Macaca mulatta: one gene and its partner. The protein of the gene in region 1 purifies or fractionates together with the protein of each later gene. This does not show direct contact. Links are inferred from orthologs where the notes say so. Each region holds a gene or a part of one and is shown on either strand. Other genes may lie near its edges.

What was found.
Region 2: the proteins of GBA2 (region 1) and ILVBL purify together in Homo sapiens (co-immunoprecipitation; 3 studies listed by BioGRID and IntAct, counting the BioPlex papers as one, with this or other methods). This does not show direct contact. The link is inferred for Macaca mulatta from reciprocal best matches to the Homo sapiens genes GBA2 and HACL2.

Annotation. Positions count from the first base shown.
Region 1 is NC_133420.1:63,950,835-63,954,643, reverse strand, and holds part of GBA2 (non-lysosomal glucosylceramidase), read right to left. Parts: exon of another isoform or gene 2,945-3,809; intron 2,218-2,944; coding exon 2,126-2,217; intron 1,924-2,125; coding exon 1,808-1,923; intron 1-1,807. UniProt on the Homo sapiens protein: Non-lysosomal glucosylceramidase that catalyzes the hydrolysis of glucosylceramides/GlcCers (such as beta-D-glucosyl-(1<->1')-N-acylsphing-4-enine) to free glucose and ceramides (such as N-acylsphing-4-enine).
Region 2 is NC_133424.1:15,710,167-15,714,464, forward strand, and holds the start of ILVBL (2-hydroxyacyl-CoA lyase 2), read right to left. Parts: upstream 2,901-4,298; 5' UTR 2,788-2,900; exon of another isoform or gene 2,511-2,787; intron 2,200-2,510; 5' UTR 2,190-2,199; coding exon 2,055-2,189; intron 753-2,054; coding exon 551-752; intron 420-550; coding exon 292-419; intron 206-291; coding exon 67-205; intron 1-66. UniProt on the Homo sapiens protein: Endoplasmic reticulum 2-OH acyl-CoA lyase involved in the cleavage (C1 removal) reaction in the fatty acid alpha-oxydation in a thiamine pyrophosphate (TPP)-dependent manner. Involved in the phytosphingosine degradation pathway.

The DNA of each region.
Region 1 (3,809 bases):
CCTCCAGCAGTGAGTCATTATATGTGCCCCCCTCCCGCTCTATTCTAGCATTTGGTGTATTATAATGTATTGACTGACCATTCTGTGTCCCTGACTGCTCTATGGGTTCTTCTGAGGGTAGGTACATTTTCTAATTCACTGATGCACCATTCTTCAGAGTTGGTGTGTATGTGGAGGGAATGAGTGAAATCTGCAGCGCCGTCCCTTTTTCCGCAGTATACTATCCACCCCTCTTCTTTTAGCACTGATGTGGTCTCTGTCTCCATTTCCCCTAAGTCTTGTTTTCTCAAAAAAAGTTTTAGCTCTTGGAGGGTAGGAGCTATGAGGGATTAATATCCCTTTCCCTGGTTCAAACTATGCCAAATATTTTTATTGTATACAGTCGGCTCTCCGTATCTGTGAGTTCCGCATCAGTGGATTCAACCAACCAAATCTAAAATATGCGGAAAAAAAGTTGCATCTGTACCGAATATGCACACACTTTATTTCTTGTACGGTATGACAAGGGTTTATGTAACAATGTATGAGGTATTATAAGTAATCTACAGATGATTTAAAGTATATAGGAGGATGTGCAATGGTTATTTGCAAATACTATATGCCACTTCAAATCAAAGACTGAGCATCCTCGGATAGTGGGTCCTGGGCCCAACCCCCAATGGATACTGAGGGACAACTATATAAAATACTTTTTCATTTTGTTGGAATGGTACATAATGGTTAAGACCACAAGCTCTTCACCACAGAAAGAAATGGTTCTGAATCCCAACCTTTCCATTTACCAACCTTGTGACCTTGCGCATGTTACTAAACCTCTCTGGATCTTAGTGTCCTCATCTGCAAAATGAGCATAATAGTGGTACTTCCCTTGTAGGATTGTTTTTAGTATTAAACAGTATACAAAGAGCCTAGAACAGTGTCTAGCACATGTTAAGCATGCAATAATTACTTTAATTGTAGAGTCACAATTCTAGAAGCCATTCCCCTCAGGATACCTAAGGGATGAGGCAGAGAGGGATCTTGGAACATGGGCAGGGCTGGTAAACCTGAACCAGGAAGGGCATTGTCATTAATTGGACTAAAGATTTGCTAGTCATTTTTCCTTTGAAGATGAGGCTGAATGCTGGAGCCAGGAAAGAGGAACTTCCTAGACAACTCTAAAGGGGTGGTCAACTAGAGATATGATGAAAGGCAGGCCACATACTTCTGGCAATTTAAGGCCCAGATGTGATGCAGGAGCAAAAGGAAAAAAGTGAAGCTTCAGAAGAGGGAAGAAGGCTAGAGATCTAAGCCCGGGAGAGAAGGAGCTTTTTAGATCCTAAGCCAGAGAGACCTCCAGGGAAGTGATCAGCAGAGGAGCTGAACTTTGGTGAAGGTTCCTCAATCAGGGTGAGGAACCTTGTACTACATGTCTTTTTTTCCCATGAGTTTATAGACTTTGGGTTTTCTTCTCCCTTCCAGTCCTACCAAATGTTCTTTTAGCCAGGTTAAGTGATTTGGGAATTCTCTGCATTCTTTGTAGTTGGGGGCTGCCTCAGCTAGTTGGGTTGGGCCAGTGAGGTAGACAGGAGGCATTTGCTAGAGAAATGCCAAGTCTGTTTACTCTTTCAAGGAATGTGTGCTCTGTGTGTGTCTTATTCCTACAGTATATCCTAGCACACGGCTGGGCACACAGGAAGCATCCTGAGAGTACTTACTGGATTGAATCATATTCACATCTAACTGCTACCTCCTACACTAGCCAAGAGGTCCTTCCTTCTTGGCCTGGGGAGGTACTGTCCTGGCCTCTCCACCTCCTGGCTCTTACTTGGTCAGCGATGACTGTCCGGTGCTGATACATTCCAGGGTTAAGCTGCCAACGACAGAACTGGCCTCTCCAGCCACGGGTAATAGTGCCTCCCCCGATGCCACCCAAGGGACAACCTAGAGAAATCAGGATGGTTAGTGGGGTATTGGGAGAGGAAAATAAGCATATTTCTAACTTTCTAGACTATAAAGCCTGGTTCTTCTGAAAACCTAGGGAATGGAACAGTGCAATTTGCATAAACTGGAAGCCTCTGCCTAACTGTGGTAGACCTGGAGGCTGGGCCTTTTCTGAGCAGAGCACAGATGGGGTGAGGCTCACCATAAATCTGTCTTAGGGGTACAGAATTGATCATGTCGATGAAAGGTGTCTTCTTTTCCACCTGGGTCTTCCGGTACCACCACTGCAGGTACCTGAGGAGCAAGAGGCAATGTGAGTGGAAGGGGGCAGGTGGGCAGTTGTTCACAGGCTGTCACCTGCCTGTCTCTGTGACCTCCCATTAAATGTCCCAAGGACATCTGCTTTCAAATCTCTCTTCCTCTTGATTTCTGTACAGTTCAAGGTCCCTTCATCTTCCCAGTCACCCCAGCTAAAGTGTAGGAGTGGCTTTGTTTCTCTCCTTTTTTCTCCTCAGAAGGGGCTTTCTGATCTCTCCTTATCTCTCTAGTGCCACCACCACTGCTTTACTTCCAACATCAGGAGCTTCTGTCTGAGGTGCTGAAAGGACCGTTTATGGTTTCCTGGCCTACAGCCTCCACCCCCAATCCCCTACCTCCAAAACAGGCATAGACTGCTGGGGATAACTTTCTTATTTTTATTTTTATTATTTATTTATTTTTTTTTGAGATAGAGTTTCATTCTTTGTTGTCCAAGCTAGAGTGCAGTGACGCGCAGTCTTGGCTCACTGCAAACTCCGCCTCCTGTGTTCAAGCAATTCTCCTGCCTCAGCCTCCCAAGTAGCTGGGATTACAGGCGTCCACTACCATGCCTGGCACATTTTTTTTTTTTTTTTGTATTTTTAGTAGAGATGGGGTTTCACCATGTTAGCCAGGCTGGTCTTGAACTCCTGACCTCAGGTGATCTGCCTGCCTCGGTCTCCCAAAGTGCTGGGATTAGAGGCGTGAGCTACCGCTTGTGGCCTTTCTTCTTTTTAAAATGATCATTTTTCTTTCTAATTGTGAAAGGTGAAAGGGGGAAAAAAACCATCTCACCCACAGACAATCAGTGTTTATATTTATTTCTGGGCATTTCCTCTCAAGTCTTTTTTTTTTTTTTTTTTTTTAATTCAGCATTTAAACCGTGAAGCTTTCTGATTTTGCTCTCGGTAAAGCCTTCAAAAAATCCCAACATTTTCCTGGGCTTGCTACAGCCCTGTATCCAAGAGGCAAATGATTGAGGCTGTTTTCAGTAGGCAAATGATTCTGTTTTCAAGGCTCTGACATCTGTCCCAGCCTATCTTCTAATCTTATTTCCTACAAATTCTCATTCCAGATGGGTCCTCACCAAGTAGCCCCTGCCTTGCCAGGCTCTTTCCCATTTCCACTGTCCTCCCTACCTAACCACATTATGCCTACTGTTCAGTCACACCACTTCTAGCCAAATAATTGGGTAAGTAACCCCTAAGTCCCAGTTTCTTCATCTACAAAATGAGGATACCACCTACTCTAGCTACCTAATAAAATGGTTGAAAGATCAAATGACAATAGATAAGAAAGCCATAAAGTACAGGTATGATTATTACTCATATATACAAACTGCTATCTCAATTCCTAATCAGACATTGCCTTGTTATTTCAGTGTTCCTCATGTGAGGCTGACATATTTTTAAGTTCCTTGGGGAAAGGGACAATGACAAAGACTAGTTGAATATTACCCTCAGGTCCAAGCACCGGGCAGGACATATGGTCTGCAGTCAATGCATATTTGCCAAATTTACAAATGAATGAACATACAAATGATGGGGCACAAGAGAGATAACAGACAGACTGGAGCAGAGGAGGAGAAA
Region 2 (4,298 bases), on another chromosome or scaffold:
TGAGTCCACAACATGTCCCCAGCCCCTCGGCCCCAGCACTGCTCAGCATCACCATCCTCCACCTACCTGGGGTGCCCGACTGGGCAGCAGCCATCGCAGCCCTCAGGGTGGGCACGATGTCCCTCACCCTCCGCACAGACGCACAGAACTTACAGAGTGGCCGGAAAAGGGACAGCTGATCAATGGCCTGGAGCGCACCCCGGTTCTGGCAAAGACAGAGGTGTGGTAGGGTTACCACATGAGCCCTTTAAGCCCCACCTAGGCCCCCACCAGCCCCCAAGGACTGGGTACCTGCAGCAGAGTACTGGCGGCCCCACCCAGAAGCAGGACTGGGGACTGAGCCATCTGAGCATTCTTCACCGCCGTCACTGTGTTAGTGAGGCCAGGGCCTGCTGTCACTGCCGCCACACCCACCGTTCCTGGAACACAGAGCCCATCACAGCCATGCCCACTCTCTTGGCCATTCTCCCACCTCTGAAAAACCCCAACCCTCACAGACACTGTATCCCACAGTCCAACCAATCCCCAGCCCTCTCCGCAATGCTCTCACCGGACAGGCGGGCCATAGCATCAGCAGCAAAGACGGCCGTGACCTCATGGCGTGTGTCCACCACACGGATGCCCAGTTTCTCACAGGCCACCAGCAGTGGGGAAATGTGCCCACCGACCAGCGTGAAGATGAACCGCACGCCATGGGCCCTCAGCACAGCGGCCACGTTCTCTCCACCATGCCGGACGCTTGCCTTGTCCACCTGGGCCCAAGGACAGGTGGAGCAATAAAGTTAAAGGTCAGGGCAGAGGGCAGCTGGGAAAGGGGGCAATCACCCTGCCCCAGGTAAGGGGGCAGGAGCAGGGTGAGAGGTCAAGAGAAGCTTGGTCTTGGTTAGGCATATATTATACTACACACCAGGCTCAAAGCAAGGCATAACATCTTATCAGATCCTCTTGTCACTACATCCCTCTTAAGCTGAGGACATCAAGACTTACCCAAGTAAGAATGAAAGTCCAATAGAACCCACGCTCTTAAGTGCCCCACTGTTACACTGCCTGTCTCCAGGATGGCAGGGCAATCAGGGAGAGAGGAGACGGTTATATAACCCAGGGAGTTTGCCAGGGAGCCATCTGCTGTGACTCCTGACTGTCCTCCAGTATCCCTGCAGGGCCTGGCAGCTGGGCTCCTGATTCCAGCCTCCCTGATACCCTCCTGATAGACGCTAAACAGGCCCAGGGCTTAGTTGACAGGCTGCCAGCCACCATGTGCCTGGCATAGGAGTGAGCTGCTGGCATAGACTGTGCCGAGGCCTCCCAACTCCAGCTGCCTCACAGCCCTACACATCCAAGGCTTGCTTTAAATCTCTGCAAGTCCTGAAGGTCAGTGGCATGACTCTTGGCTAGCAGAGGAAGGATCAGAGAAGGGTTTGGGGAGGGAGAGGTCAAGCTTGGTCCCTGCTAGGAGAGAAAGGGTTAAGAAGGAAGTCTGAGGAAGGGGTAAATTTCAAACAGGTGCAAGGAGTTCGGGGGAAGCCTGTGGGGTCAGCTCTTTCCAAACATGTCACCTAGGGCAAACCACCACACAATCTCTCTGAGCCTCAGCTTCCTCTTGCAGAAAATGAGGCAGAAAGAACAGCACCTACTTTCAAGGAAAAGGTTAACGGGTAGATAAGAAAGTCTACAGTACTGTCAGCAGAGGGCAACTGTTATGAAACTCACTGCCACCCCCTTGCTGGTGCCTGCCCTCTGCCGCATTTATCCCATCCAGTTTAGGGGTGCTGTCCATCTGTTCTGTGAAAAGAGTCACTGGGGAAGGAGGTAGGTGGGGTGCAAGTGCCCGGGCAGCGGCAGCTTCCATATTGTCTCTCACTAGTGGCAAAGTCCAGGCCCCCATACGCAGCGTGGCAATGGAGACGGGGCCCTGGACACAGCCTCTTACCAGTCCCTCTGGACTAGTCGGGGCTCGCTTTCCCACCCTGCGCAATGAGTGAGCTGGAAGCAGCACCACGAGGTCCCTCCCTCTTTGACTGCCCCCAGCCCACCTCCCATTCTATGTCCCGCACCTTGTGCAGCAGCTGATAGAAGAGCCCCAGGCGGTGCGCGGCGCCTAGCAAGGCGGCCACCAGCGTCCCGCAGGCCAGGAGCAGGAAGGAGGGAAATAAGCTCCCGGCAGGGGCGGCGGCCGCGGGGGTCTCCATGAGGTGGCACCTAAGAGAGAAAGGGCACTTCCCAGATTTGGGCGCGACAGGGAACCTATCCGGAAGAAATCGCGCCCCCTCTCCCAGCCCGGATTCAGGACCACGCCCCTTGCCGCCAGTTTCTGTGCGGCCACGCCCCCAACCCTGCCAGCCCACGCCCTTTGTGCGCCTAGGCTCGGAGTGAAGCCACGCCTCTCTGTGACAAGGTCACGCCCCTCGCGGGCCTAGCCCCCATCCTTTATGTCACCACCACTCCCACCCAAACTAGCCACCACAGGTCAAAGCGGCGACGACAGCACCACAGAGTTATCTTCCACTTACCTACCTGTCAGTGGACAGGCAGAAGCCCGTCCTCTTTCCACAACGGGACCCCAAAACTCAGCCCCAGGAGTGAGCCCGCCCCACGGTACGTCACCAAGAGGCACGAGGTCACGCCCCCAGGTTAGCTGGCGCGACCCTCCACGCAAGCCACGCCTCTCCCTTAGAGAGCGCACGGGCCCGAGCCTGGACCCAGACCCCGGGCTACGGGTCGAGGTCACATCGCATCAGGATGTAGTTCTCCCACACCAGCTCGACCCCCGAGGCTATGCACTTTCACCTCTAGGCTATGGCGTTGCCTCCTGCAGAATTCGGCCAGCTCCGTGTCACGTGACCCGGGAGCCCGTCCTTGCCCGGGTCGCCCACTTGGCTCAGCGGCGCCCCGTAGTCCGGCCCGATGCGCATGCGCACAGTCGGAGCCACGCTCCGGGGCCACCCGAAAGAGCCTTGCCTCTACTGGCCGCCTGGCGCACAGACCCCGCCTCCCCTCGCCTTTCATTGGCTCGCACTGCAGGCCTCACACCCATTTTATTTTTTTTAAACCTGGAGGCCACGCCCCCCGGCGGCTTCAGGATCCCAGACCTTTGGGGGCCCACCTTCCGCAGCCTTCCATTGGTCAAACAATGTAATCCCGTAGGTTCAGGCCGTCCGAACACAGCTCGCTTTCCACACCAGCGGGGCTGTATGTACCACTGCACTCTAGCCTGGGCGACAGAGCAAACCGTGTCTCACAAAATAATAATACTTAAAATGGTAAATTTTATGTTATGTATGTTTTCCACACTATAAATGAATATGCGATATATATGTGTATATTTTTTATATAATATAGTAGCAAGCAAAGGAACTCAAATTGAGTCACATTCTATAAAATGCCTAACCAGGCCTCTCTAAAACTGTCAAGGTCATGAAAAACAAAGAAAGACTGAGGCACTGCCACAGACCAGAGGCAGGAAAGGAGATGTGACAAGTAAATTAAATATAGTACCCTGGACTGGATCCAGGAATCAAGAAAAGGACAAATTTGCGGATAAAGCTAGTGAAATCCAAATAAAGTCTGGAGTTGAGTTAATAGTAATGAACCAGTGTTAATCTTTTTGTTTCAGTAAATGTTTTGTTTCAGCTTTTCTGTAAAGCTTAAAAAAAAAAAAAAAAAAAAGTCTTAGTAGCAAGGATACAGTTTTCCAGAGAGAGAGAGAAAGATGTTGTAATAGATGTAAATTCTTTCTTGGGAGACAAAGCTTTAACACGCTCCAAGACTAATTATGTGTCCTATCTCTCCCCAGATAAAGAAAGATTGTCACTAGAGAAATGTCCAAAAACCTTCTCAGCCGAAGACTGAAACAAATCAACAGTCCCTGAAACAAATATACACAGAGGACAAGTGACTTTTTTAAAAAGGGAAATGAGCCTGGCATGGTGGCCCATGTAATCCCAGCACTTTGGGAGGCCAAGGCAGGAGGATCGCTTGAGGCCAGGAATTTGAGACCAGCTGGGGCCAAAAAGTGAGACCCTGTCTCTCAAAAAAAAAAAAAAAAAAAAAACCGACCAGGTGTGGTATCTCACACCTGTAATACCAGCACATTGGGAGGCTGAGGCGGGCGGATCACGAGGTCAGGAGATGGAGACCACGGTGAAACCCCGTCTCTACTAAAAATACAAAAAATTAGCCGGGCACGTTGGTGGGCGCCTGTAGTCCCAGCTACTCAGGAGGCTGCGGCAGGAGAATGGCCTGAACCGGGAGGCAGAGCTTGCAGTGAGCCGAGATCACACCACTGCACTCCAGCCTGG